Linked DNA regions of Tribolium castaneum. The protein of the gene in region 1 interacts with the protein of each later gene in a pairwise test. Links are inferred from orthologs where the notes say so. Each region holds a gene or a part of one and is shown on either strand. Other genes may lie near its edges.

Region 1 (6,886 bases):
CAGTAGCATGCAATCCTCAACCACAATGCCCCCATCTGTAAAACCCTCTTCCCGTATAACATCAAACAATCGGTCGAAGGCGTTTTCAAAAGCCACAATTTTTTGGATGTTGGCGTTTGATTTTGTCAAGTTAATCAAAAGAAGCAAAGCGTCGTTCCGGATCACTTCGCGACTTTCGACCAACAAATCCATAAGTTTTGAAACCCCCATGGGGCTCACGAGGATCACATCTTGGATTTCTTTAGGTTTACTTGCCAGAAGTGAAGTGAGCAGCTTGACAGCTGGCCATCTAACCCTAAAATCGCGGGAACCTCTACTTTAGCCACACTCGAAACACTTGAAAGATAATTAAAAGCTCAATTCGGAAATAAAATTAACTAGACGCCCTCTGGTGATGACTTTTGAACTATGTCGAAAACAGTAAAGAAATTTTCGTAATGCCACATTTAACTGACATTTAATGAATTGTTCAATAATTTTGCGTATATAGTGTTAATTACTTACAATAGAAAGAATTACTTTAAAAGTACGTGGTGGTAAATACTAGCGTTGACTTTGGTTCTGTAGTTTTTCGTGGTATAAAGTGTTTATTGTTGGAACTTGAAAGTGGATAAAAAGTGAAAAATATTTAAATTTTGATTACAAAGTGTTATCAAACAGTTGTCTAATTAAAGATTATAAGTAATGGATCACAGCGAACACAAAGTTTGGCTCAAGAAACCAATAAATTAGTGAAGTGTTATGAATTTTAGGTTAGAATTTTCCACTGAAAAAATCATGAAATGCTGCGGTAAATCTACAAAACTACAATAAAGATTAACAACTGCTGATACATTTAAACGTAAATTATGCCAAAAGGTAGGCTTTTCAATGTCTTTGTAATAATTTTCCAATAAAGAAAGTGAACCAAACAGTCATTCGTTATTCGTGTTTTCCTCGTCATCTCTCATTTGTCAACATAAGTTTCTTGCATCAAAGATGAAATAATCATTCCGCATAGGCAATGTAATAATTGTGAAGCCCCAAAATTCGTACAACGCTCAAAATATCCGAATAAACATTTTCCCGCCATTTATGGTTACTGTTTTCGACCTAGCTCAGTGGCGCCCCCAACGGTAATTTTACTTCCGAATACCTCCTTCCTTGTGGTAAAGGTTAGTTTACCGATAATAAGCGACTTCATCCGATCAAACACAAACATTATTAAATGGGTGAAAATATCTTAATTTAGACCGTTTTCGCGTGCTTTAACACGTATTTCTCTGGTGAAAGCTGTAAATTCAGTAAATTCAGTGTAGTTTTTACTTTTTAATAAATCGAAACCAAAAAATTAAGAAATATTCTAAAATAGATCGAAATCGATCTTATTTCATCTGCTTCAGTCGACTTATTGATAGTTTCTGAGAGAAATTTCGCCAAAATAAGCCGACGAATCACAAAACCTGATGGCAGTTGGAGTTGTCTTTACTTATTTTGAGCCCCTAAGTACATTAAATTTTCAATAATTTTGTAAAATTTCAGTTAAAACCGACCGTAAATTTATCTAATTACAAAAAAAGTACTCTACTATATTGCATTTATAAGCATTTTAGTTTGTTTTACAGTTAGGAATGCTAGCACTTTCGTTAAAAATAAGCTTGAAAATCATTAAATTAAACAAAAAATAATGTTATTTTTGTCTTAAGCAAGTTTCAATCAATAAAATCGATCAAGAAAATTATAAAAATAATTCGAAATTGATGGTAATTTGGTCAAAAATAATGTTATTTTTATCTTTTTTTACCCCCTAAGTACGATTTCGAACTAGAATTTCAAAATTTTTGAACGATTTCGCTCAAACAGGTCTAAAAATTACCAAGTTATGCAATTAATTGTACTATTCTTGCTCTTCTCGAGCGGTTTTACTAGTTTTCCAGTCAGAAACGAAATGAATTTACAAAATTTCAATAAAACAAACTGAAAAATTTTTAAAGTAAAAACTTATTTTTTTCCAAAAACTAGGCTAAAATTGAAAACTAAAACTCATAAAAATACATGATTATGTAGTTCGTTTTAGAACACAATTTCGACAAAAATAAACAATTTGCGTAAAAGTAGTGTCATTTTTATAATTTTCCAACCTCTAAGCACGTTTTCAAAGTAAAATCTAAAGGTTTTTTGCGAGATATCGCTAAAATATGCCAAAAAACACTACAAATAAAATATACAATCAAATTTTTGTTGTTAATTAGCGCTTTAGCTTGTGATTTAGTCAGAAACAAAATTATTTTCTGTATTTTTAGTATGTTTATCAGCTAAAAACTTATTTTTTTGCAAAAAACACAGTATGTCTGTTTAAAAAATCGAAATTAATTTTGACTTAGCTTTGTTTTGCTAAAAACTAGAAGAACAAATCAAAATTGATATTTGACTCGATTTACCTTGTTATTTACAAAGCCAGTAGATATACTGTATATCTACTGGCTTTGGTTATTTATTGAAATTTTGTCAAAAATAAACGAAACATCAATTTGGTTAAAAATAATAATGTTATTTTTGACTTTTTCTCATCTCTAAACTTGTTTTTGAATAAAAAATCTTAGGGTTTTTGTCAGATATTGTTAAACTAGTTCGAAAAATACTTAATTAAATGATAACTCATTTTTGCTTTTTGGACCGTTTTAGCTTATTTTTTGGTTAGAAATAAAAATAGTATTTCACGAGATTTCACTAAAAATAGTACGTCTAAGTTCATTTTTTATTTAAAAACTTTAGTTTTTTGTCAAAACTGCTTAAAACAAATTACCGTTATTTTGACCTGTATCACTCTATTTAAACCGTTTGAAAATACATATATTAGTCAAAATTGCAAATTTGCCCAAAAATAGTGTTATTCTTAACAATTTTTAGGTGTTTGAGTACGTTGTTGAACTAAAATGTTGGTTTTTGTGAGAGAAAAACTACTCACTTAACTCAAACATCACATTATTTCTGATTTCTATCGAACTTTTTTCAAATATAAACACACTTAATTTTAATTTTCAAAATTTCGTAAAATCACAGAGTAAGAATCTCCACAAGGAAAGAGGTGCAAAGGTGTGATCAGTCATTAGTTAAAGCAATTATTACCTAAAGTCGTACTCCTCCAAAAAACTCAAAACCAGGGTCACATTTTCGGCATTTTTGATAAACATTTCAGTGAACTGCTCCCCCACATTGACCTTAATGTTTAAATTACTCTCACTCTCCTCCTCAAAAACCTCCTTCGAGGTGATATTACACAACGTATCGAGACAATAGCCGATGATTTCGCAGTCAGAGCGGTCCAACTCCAGGACCTGTCTCAACACATCCATGCCTTGGGCCCCCACTTCGAGGCGATATTTCCGAGACAGGGCCTTAAGGGCCCGACATGCGTCGCGACGGTCCTCCAGTAACGTCGAAGTACTGACCCGACTCACAAGCCGCTCCACCTAAAAGTGGGGTTAGGGGCGGTCAGGACAGCTGTTTGGGGTTTCGGGGGCACTTACGGTCTCGGCACCCGTGGGCTGGGTGCCGGGGGCCGGGGCCCCCAGCACCGACTTCAAACCGCTCCGGAAGTACTCCATTTCACGAAATTAACACAAATTGTTTGAAATTTTTGACATTTTGACGTGACATGTATACAAAGAAACGTCAATAGCGCAGTTTTTGAAACGCACAAAAGGGGGCACTTTTTGTGTGTTAATTTCAAAGACATAATTTCAAAGATATTAGAGGTATTTGGTTAATTTTCTATGTTTGGACGTAGCTCAGTGGCGTTTTATAATTTTACTTCTGAACTGAAAAAGTTTGGGCAGGTTTATGATACAGCGACCTGTTATTGTCCGCTTGGGTTAGTGGGTGGAAGATGGCGCCCTCAGTCAAAGTGTCACATAAATGTCGCGTTTTTTGGCGGGAATATGAATAAGGGGTTTCAAGAGGGTGAACACGAGTTTCTTTTTCCAAATCGGGACAAATATTCGGGTCACTTTTGCGCTCATGTTAGTGGTTTAGCATGGAGGCAAGGCCATGGTGTTTACGAAACGCACGATTTGCAATTTTACGAAGGAAACTGGAAGGACGATAAATTAAATGAAAACGAAAATGTGCGCATTATGTTCAAAAATAACGACACTTTTGAGGGAAAAATCAAAAAGTACAAGTACAACGGTCCAGGGACATACACTTTTCGTAGGGGAGGCCGGTTGTGTTGCGAATTTTTGAATAATAAGCCTTCGGGGAATGTGATTTTTATTGATTACAAGGGACACCTTTGGCATGGTAATTTTTCAGTTTTGTGATTACGAATGAAATAAATTTAAGTGTAATTAAGGTAAGGCCGGCCCTGAGCACACGCTGCTGTACCGTGAGCACATTTTTTCGCAAGAACTGGACCGAGAAAGGGGCAAAGGGCGCCCTATAATCAAAGAAACAACAATTCCGAGTGAAGAAGAAAAAGAAGGCGAAACGAGTGAAGTGGAAACACCAGACTTGAAAGAATTAGAGAGACAAGTCTTCGCCAAAAGCACCAAAACCAAGTCCGTTATTGATTTCGAAGACTCTGACTGGTTCAGAGACTACCAGAAGAACAAAGAAATGAAGCAAACCGTCTTTGAGAAAATTTCAACTCTGGGAGTTTCGAGCCTCACCGATGACGAAAAAGCGTGGTACAAAAAATATTACACGAGTGCAAAAATTCGCGAAGATTGGAAGAAGCCGAAGAAAATCAACCACGATTTGTTGCGCCAACACTTCGATGAAGAATCGAAAAATACGTGCGCGCCAAGTTGCATTTTTTATGCTTCAAATTTTGGTGAAGGCTAAAATTAATTAAAATTTATTTGTGATTGGTATCGGGACACCTGGGGTCGTGGGCGACTCGAATTTGAAAAATAAAGATTTTGTGATAAATTTGAATATAATTAGGTTCTTGTGTTTGACTCCCAGTCGGGCTAAGTCTGAAATATTGGCCCCAAACCAATTATAATTATTTATTTAAATCGTCGGGAATTAATCATTTTGTAATTTATTTATTTTATACAACAAAGTAGCTGTTTATTTAGGTTTAATTTATTGCACCAGTAGTTTTTATTTAAATACAATTTTCCATCTGTTTGCCTTAAAAAATCAACAGTTTCAAGCTGGGCTATTATTAGAAAATAATGTACGTAACAGATGGCCGAAATTAGCAACAATTCACCTGCCAATAATAATAAGTTGCGGTAGAATATTTAAATTGGGCGATTTTTACTAATTGGCCACAAATTTAACAAAGTGATGAAATCGTGCAAAAAATGGGCCATTCGAGCTGTAGTGCAACTGATTAAGAAAAAAACTTAGCTCAGTTTTAGTCCGTTACTATTTTTTTACTAATTGATTTAGTTAATTTATTAATTAATCTTGTTGCTTACCCGTAATTAATTTTTGTTTAGTCACCGTATAACGTACCCTCGAAAAATCAAGAAATAAATCTTGTTTTTTAAACTCTCTTATTAAAAGTGCAAAAAACGACATTTGGTTCTGTTTAATTGTTTCCTCATTTTTCTTCTAGTTTTTGGTTGATTTTCAGCCCATAATTTCGATAGTACGAGCTTTAAACCTTTTAGTTTAAATTAAATATTTAGTGTCGTCGGAAAACCTGTTTTAATTAAGTATTTATCAAATTGATAGTACATATTTTATACAATAAGTATTTAATGATAGCACGAGCCGTAAGCGAGTGTCGCAGTAAGTATAAGTATATGTAGGTATACTTAGTGTCTTAGCATCTAGCTATTAAATTCGAGCTGCATACACTATTTTTTCTACAATGAGATGGCTCACAATAAAAAAATATAATTTTATTGTGAAACGGTCCAGGCAATCTACTAATTGCTGATATTCAGATTTCGTCTAAGACCAAATAAAATATAAAAGTAGAAAAAAAAAACATTATTCAACAAGTAATACCTATGTAGGAAATTCCTAAGAAAAAATTGATGGTAATTTAAATACTACTGAGAAATATTGCGGCGGTTTTCTAGATGCCAATAGACTTCTTAAAACCAATTTACTTTCTCTGAATATTTGCCGAAGAGTTTTGAGTTAATTGAGAAAATAAAACAATAAAAAAACAAAACAAAATAAAATAAAATAGAAAAATACCTTACCATACAAAAAGCCGATTTTAAACATGTTTCAAACTTGATTTAAACCGAGATTTACATCTTGTCTGATAGATTTTGACGTCTTTACCATGGACTTTTTGCGCTAGCTCGAATAATTTCGGCGTAATTGCGATAATTCTAACACATGTTTTATCTCTTTCTCCGAAACTAAGCATAAAATTTGTGGCAAAAATTGAAAAAATAAAAAAAATTGCACCAAAAAACATTTAACTAAAAGTCCTAAGACAAAACGGTTTGTTCCGAATTTATTTTTTTTATTTTTTATTTTTTTATAATCAATAATAATAATAATAATGATAATGATAATGATAATGATAATGATAATGATAATGATAATGATAATGATAATGATAATAATAATAATAATAATGATAAAGATAATGATAATGATAATGATAATAATAATAATAATAATAATAATAATAATAATAATAATAATAATAATAATAATAATAATAAATAAAACATAAAAGCACTAAACTAAAAACTAGAAATATAACAATATTGTAGAGACTGAATCAAAAATAATTCACAAAATTCATATCTATCTTTGTTATTAGTAATTTTTCAAAAAATTCCTCGAACAGGTCAATTTTATTTTTTTAAATGCTACATTTTGACACTATACTGACATTTTCGACATTTTAGATGGTACACTTGCTTCTCTTTCTGGTAAAAAAAAAATAATTATTTAAAAAAGTAATTAAATTAAAAGTTTT
Region 2 (5,432 bases), on another chromosome or scaffold:
GACCAAAGAATTCAAGTTAAACATATTTATAACTAAAGAAAAATTGGAAACCAGACCGGAACTAAAACCGGAACGCGTATTTTGTTTCAATTCTTTTACAATCGGAAAGGCATCAAAATTTTCTTGCTCACCTGGAACCGGACCCGTAACGGAACCCAAAATTTTTACTCGTCTAGAACCATCTCCTGAGATGTTAAACATGTGATATTGTATTAATTGTTTTTTTTTAATGTCTTGCTACAAACTGTAGCAGAATAGGATGCCATAAAAGTAAGTACATTTTTTCATCTCAAGTAAGATTTTGAATATGTGTTATTAACATCTTAATTTAATTTTAACATTTAGCTACGTACTGTACTAGAAGTAGATGCCATAAAAGTAAGTGCATTTTACTTATATTAGTGAGAAAAACTAATTTTTGTATTGTATTTTTGTTTTATAAAGAAATAAATCTTTTATTCCCTTGATGTATTAATCATTGATCACCTTACCTTATTTCCTTTTTCTTCGCAAGAATGCACTAAACCTCCACATGGTACTTGCTGGACAAATTAGCAATTAATTTGACAAATTAGATCAATACTTATGTAATCTGTTTAAACACCTCGTAGTATTTAAGATGTAAAGGGATATTTGTGACACAACTCCTTTCCCTACAGCTTCAAGTGCGATATTTTGCCGTAATTGGTTATTACAATTATTTTTCCTATCATCTCAGTAATGTATAAAAAAATTTGTATTTATATGACCATTCATTCTTGTTTCGCGGCTGTTTAAAACATAATAATAACAAATGTCAAAATAAATTTGATTGCAATTAGATCGGCCCTTAACATGGACAAAATTTAACGCCGGAACTTTTTTAAACTGTAATTAAAAAACGCACCAAAGGCCAGCGCCACTTTGTTGATTTTCTCCTGCCCTTTCAGTTGTATAATTACCAACTGCCGCATCCCTGATTGATTGTTTCACCACAAAACATAGTTTTGCGGGATTTGAAGTGATATTTTCTGAAGACAAATGGTTATTCCTTACGTTAAAGTGTTCAATAATTTGATTCATGCTTCCATGCATGTCATTGACTAGACCAATAATTTCTGAAAAAAAATCTACTGATTACACGCCAAACTACCGCGCAAACTTACGTTGCTTTAGTGCCATATTTTTCAAATATAAATTACATTTACTAACAAGTTTATTAAGACAGGGGTATTGAGACACAGCGTTTAAGACCTGATGAGTGGTAACTTCAGTTAAGTTCTCGGGGAGACACTCGGCGTAAAGAAAATGTAAAATTGTGCCCAAAACGTCCTCCGGGAGGTTACTAAAGGGGCACGGATCGGCGAACCAATCAATGTCACAACCTTGCAATTTTAAAATCGTCGAATGAACCTTAAACTGCAGAATGCACGTTAGAACACAGCAGGACAATCACGAACAAACAGACTTGTTTCTTGTTTGACGAAACTATTGTTAGATCTGAAAAATAGCCGTCTTCAAGGGCCGGCAGCAGAGAAAAGGGAATTGAGTGGTATTTGTCAGTGGCGTCCTCGTAAATGCGTTTACAGTGGAGCATGCACCAGCTCTCGCACGTCATTGTGAGGTTTTCGCGGGGCTCCATTTGATCACACTACAATTGTGGCTCATTTTTTTGCAAAATAAAAAATTGGACAAGTACCCTAAACTCCAAGACATGGCCCGCGTAGGCCCCGAACCGCAACACCACCCCCGATATTGTGGTGCTGTAAAGCTCGTAGGTCTCGCAGCTAAACAGGGGGATCGACTTGAGTTCTTCAGGGACCGTCCAAATGACGTCTCCATTATCATCCAAACGGAAGCGAACACTACAATAATTTCATTGAATCTGAGCCGATACTCACGACCAAAGCAATACCCTTCCAATCCTTGATTGTCACTGTAAGTCCCCGAAATGTATCCGCACCCAATTATCTGCAAATTTGCGTTTAAATTTGCAAAATAAAACGAAATGACAGCTGTCAAAACAAACAATATATCGAAGTAAACAAGCCGAATTTGCGCCCAATTGTTACGTGACTGAGCTGTCTCACGTCTGGACCTTTTTTTGCGCTAAATTATCAAAATCTCACCTCCCAAGTGCCGATAAAACCATGAAGGGCCATACTTGTTTGACATTTGTGTCTTTGCATTTGTCAAAAAGCAGGGACTTTGCCGCAGCTGAGGTTGGCTTGGCCAACCTGCGCGCTTTACCAGTGAGCTTACAAAGCTGGATCGATTTTCCAGAGGCCTCACACCACGTAGATGGACGGGTTAAAAAAACTCAATTTGAGAAATGCAAGTATTTATTGCTTGTAAGTCGTTAACACACTGTTAAAATGAAAAAAGTATTAGATTATTAAATTGGTTTGATTTAAAACACTTGTATCCTGTGGTTTTCTCGATCACACACCAGTATGTGTCCATTGGGGGTCATTGCGACACCTTCAAGGCCCTTGAACTCGCCTTTGCCGATGCCCCAACAACCGAATGAACGCAAAAATGTTCCATCGGGGTGGAAAATCTGGATTCTGTTATTTCCGGAATCAGCAACGCAAATGTAGCCTTGGTCATCCACAGCAACGCCTCTGGGGAACTTGAACTGACCATCGTCCGAGCCCTCGGACCCGAAGGAGGACAGGACTTTGCCATTCACGTCAAATATCTGGATTCGGTGGTTGTTCGAGTCCGAAACAACGACCCTGTTCGTGTTAGAAACGGCGATGTAGTGGGGATGCTCCAGTTGGCCCTCCTTGCTGCCCATGGAGCCGAACTTGCCCACGAAGGTACCATCGGACTGGAAAACCTGCACAGAAACACATTTTATGTACTTGTGAAAGAAAAATTAAAAAACTGTTAATACCAACCTGCACTCTGTGGTTTTCCTTGTCACACACGTAGATGAAGCCTAGGGCGTCGGTGGTGATGCCCCACGGGTAGTTGAAGCGGCCGTCGGCGGTGCCCTGGCTGCCGAAGGCTCGCAAGAAGCGTCCCGAAGGGTCGAAGACTTGGATTCGGTGGTTGTACCGGTCGGCGATGATAAATTGGCCAATTCTGTTGACGGCAACGCCTGCAAGACAGTCGAATTCGCCTTCGCCGTTGCCGTATTGTCCAAATTCTTTCAGGAATCGTCCGTTTGAGTCGAAGACTTGGACGCGGTGGTTGGAGGAATCCGCGACTACGATGGAGTTATCGGGGCCCACGGCAACGCCGCGAGGCCAGGTGAAACATCCGGCTTCGCTCCCCCGACTACCAATTTCGAACAGCTGTTGGCATTTCTGCAAGTACTGACTCCTAGGGGAGGTACCTGCCACTGCCACTGCGATACCTACGCAAAAGATGGATTTATTTTATCAGTTACCATTGTTATCAAAAAAAATTAAACTGTGTTCAAAACAGGACCTCATCAAAATGTTCAGTGGCTTACACATTTACGATTTATTTACAGAGGAAAGTTATCTTTCGAGAATCTCAATAAAATCAAGATTATAAATAAATTGAAGTGTTGTTTATTTAACTCGCAACTGTTATTACAAGAGTAAAAATATTTTGTATTTCTAATTTTGCTTCATATTAAAAACGTAAAGTCTAGATTTTCTCGTCGGTAAACGAAAACTAAGTAATGCTGGCTAAGGAAGTCATGAAAAACCGAGCTCAGAAGTACAAATCATCATGTTAGCGAAGTTTGCATAAAGTAGTACAGAGTAAACTTATTCCTATAATTAAAGTCGAGACAAAGTTACAAAAATAAGACGTAACTACTATGAATTACAAAAAAAAACACACACACAAATGCAGGTAGGTAAATATCTCTGTTATTTTCCACTTGTTTGGCGAGAGTTCGTCAATAATAATTAGTCCCTAGAGAACTAATTACTTTACAAGGAGATGAGAGACATACAAAATAACTCGATATGACCAAAAATTTAGTGCGGTGGAGCGTTTTAGAGCGTCTCTGCTCCAAATTGTTTGAAATTAATTGAAATTAGTTTACAAAGTGAGTGGAAAAGAAGTTGGAACATTGGACATTAAAAAACTAACGACTAAAGTTTTTCGACCAACCTGAGAAAAAAAAGTTGAGCGCCGTCCTACATATTTTTCAAATTGCGAAGATTAAGTATTGAAATTTATAAAAGAACAAAAACATATTGTAGACACCAAACATACTTTAACCAAACAAAATAAAAACATAAACGCGAAACCAAAACTATAAGTAAACAATAAAAATGATTTTTTCTCTCGTCAGTTATTTAATTTTGATAAAAGACAGTCAAAATCAATTTCCTATCGGCCTTTTTTTTCTCGAAAGCCAAATGCAGTAATAATAATTATTGCCAGATTTATTTTGGGTGAAAAAAAAACATTCTCATAGAATCATACACATTCGATGTCGCTTTGTCTTCCATAAAAATAAAAATACATCCATGTCCTTTAATTTTCAAATAAAAAATAATAGTAACCTAACTGTGATAATAACAAAAAAAAATTAGAAAACAGAAAATCATAATAATTATAAATTTTTCGATTTATATTTACGGTTAAAAATACAAGAAATATTTAAGAGGGAATAAGTTGTAGAGAATCTAATTTTATTAAAGGTTTAACCGTTTAGGCCGTAAAGACCGTTCAAGCGACGTATTCGTTTCATTTTAAACGAATGCTGAAGGAATACTTTAAAGCAATTTAAACCTAAACGGTTAAAAATAGAGATATGGCATTGGACTCACAGCCTTTTTTTTGTAGAAATTCTCCACTACTTTGTTGCTTAAGCTTTTTTGTATGTTCGGCCATATTCACTGCGTTTTGAAAAATAAGGTACAAATTGGTGAAAGCCTGAATTTTTTTAATACAATATTTGATAATTTGTTCATATTAGATACCTTTATATCTTCCTCCTGCGAATTTATTCTCTGTTGCTTGTATAATATTTAACATTATTTAAATACGTACGGCCAACTTTTTCAATGCTTTTAAATTTATTAGACGGGCTAGGGACAATAATGCCATTCGTAAGTAAGCCGAAAAATCGTCGAATTTGGCTGGAATGGTTTGATTTTCACGCTTTACGTGCGATTAGTTATACAAGTTTTTAATCTAGAAACTCACTTCTTATATATTACACGTCCTTTTCGTGAGCTTAAACTTGCTTTTGAGCTAATAAAGTTCAGTATTTTGTGACATTTTCTTTAAACTACACTTTAATTAACTTTAAATCACACAAAAATAATAGATATTTTTCCACATAAAACAATATTTCTTCGTACAAATTGAAAATGCTCGTTAGATATCTACTGAAATTTTTGAAAATAAATCTCATTCTTTTTATTAAATATTAGATTATTTATTTACTTTGGAGATAATGGCTTTTTCAAAGTTAGAATTTGCTAATCCTTATAGGTAAATGTTCAATTAATGAG

Evidence for each region.
Region 2: the proteins of p115 (region 1) and tn interact in a two-hybrid assay, tested with the Caenorhabditis elegans proteins (2 studies listed by BioGRID). The link is inferred for Tribolium castaneum from reciprocal best matches to the Caenorhabditis elegans genes uso-1 and nhl-1.

The regions. Positions count from the first base shown.
Region 1 is NC_087399.1:6,664,692-6,671,577, forward strand, and holds the start of p115 (general vesicular transport factor p115), read right to left. Parts: upstream 3,671-6,886; 5' UTR 3,588-3,670; coding exon 3,510-3,587; intron 3,453-3,509; coding exon 3,109-3,452; intron 296-3,108; coding exon 1-295. Other genes in the region: radial spoke head 1 homolog, read left to right, coding at 3,921-4,281, 4,334-4,824.
Region 2 is NC_087395.1:21,350,259-21,355,690, reverse strand, and holds the end of tn (RING finger protein nhl-1), read right to left. Parts: intron 3,344-5,432; coding exon 2,883-3,343; intron 2,822-2,882; coding exon 2,390-2,821; 3' UTR 2,304-2,389; downstream 1-2,303. Other genes in the region: uncharacterized protein LOC100141518, read right to left, coding at 942-1,097, 1,146-1,398, 1,448-1,630, 1,679-1,844, 1,895-1,950, 2,109-2,168.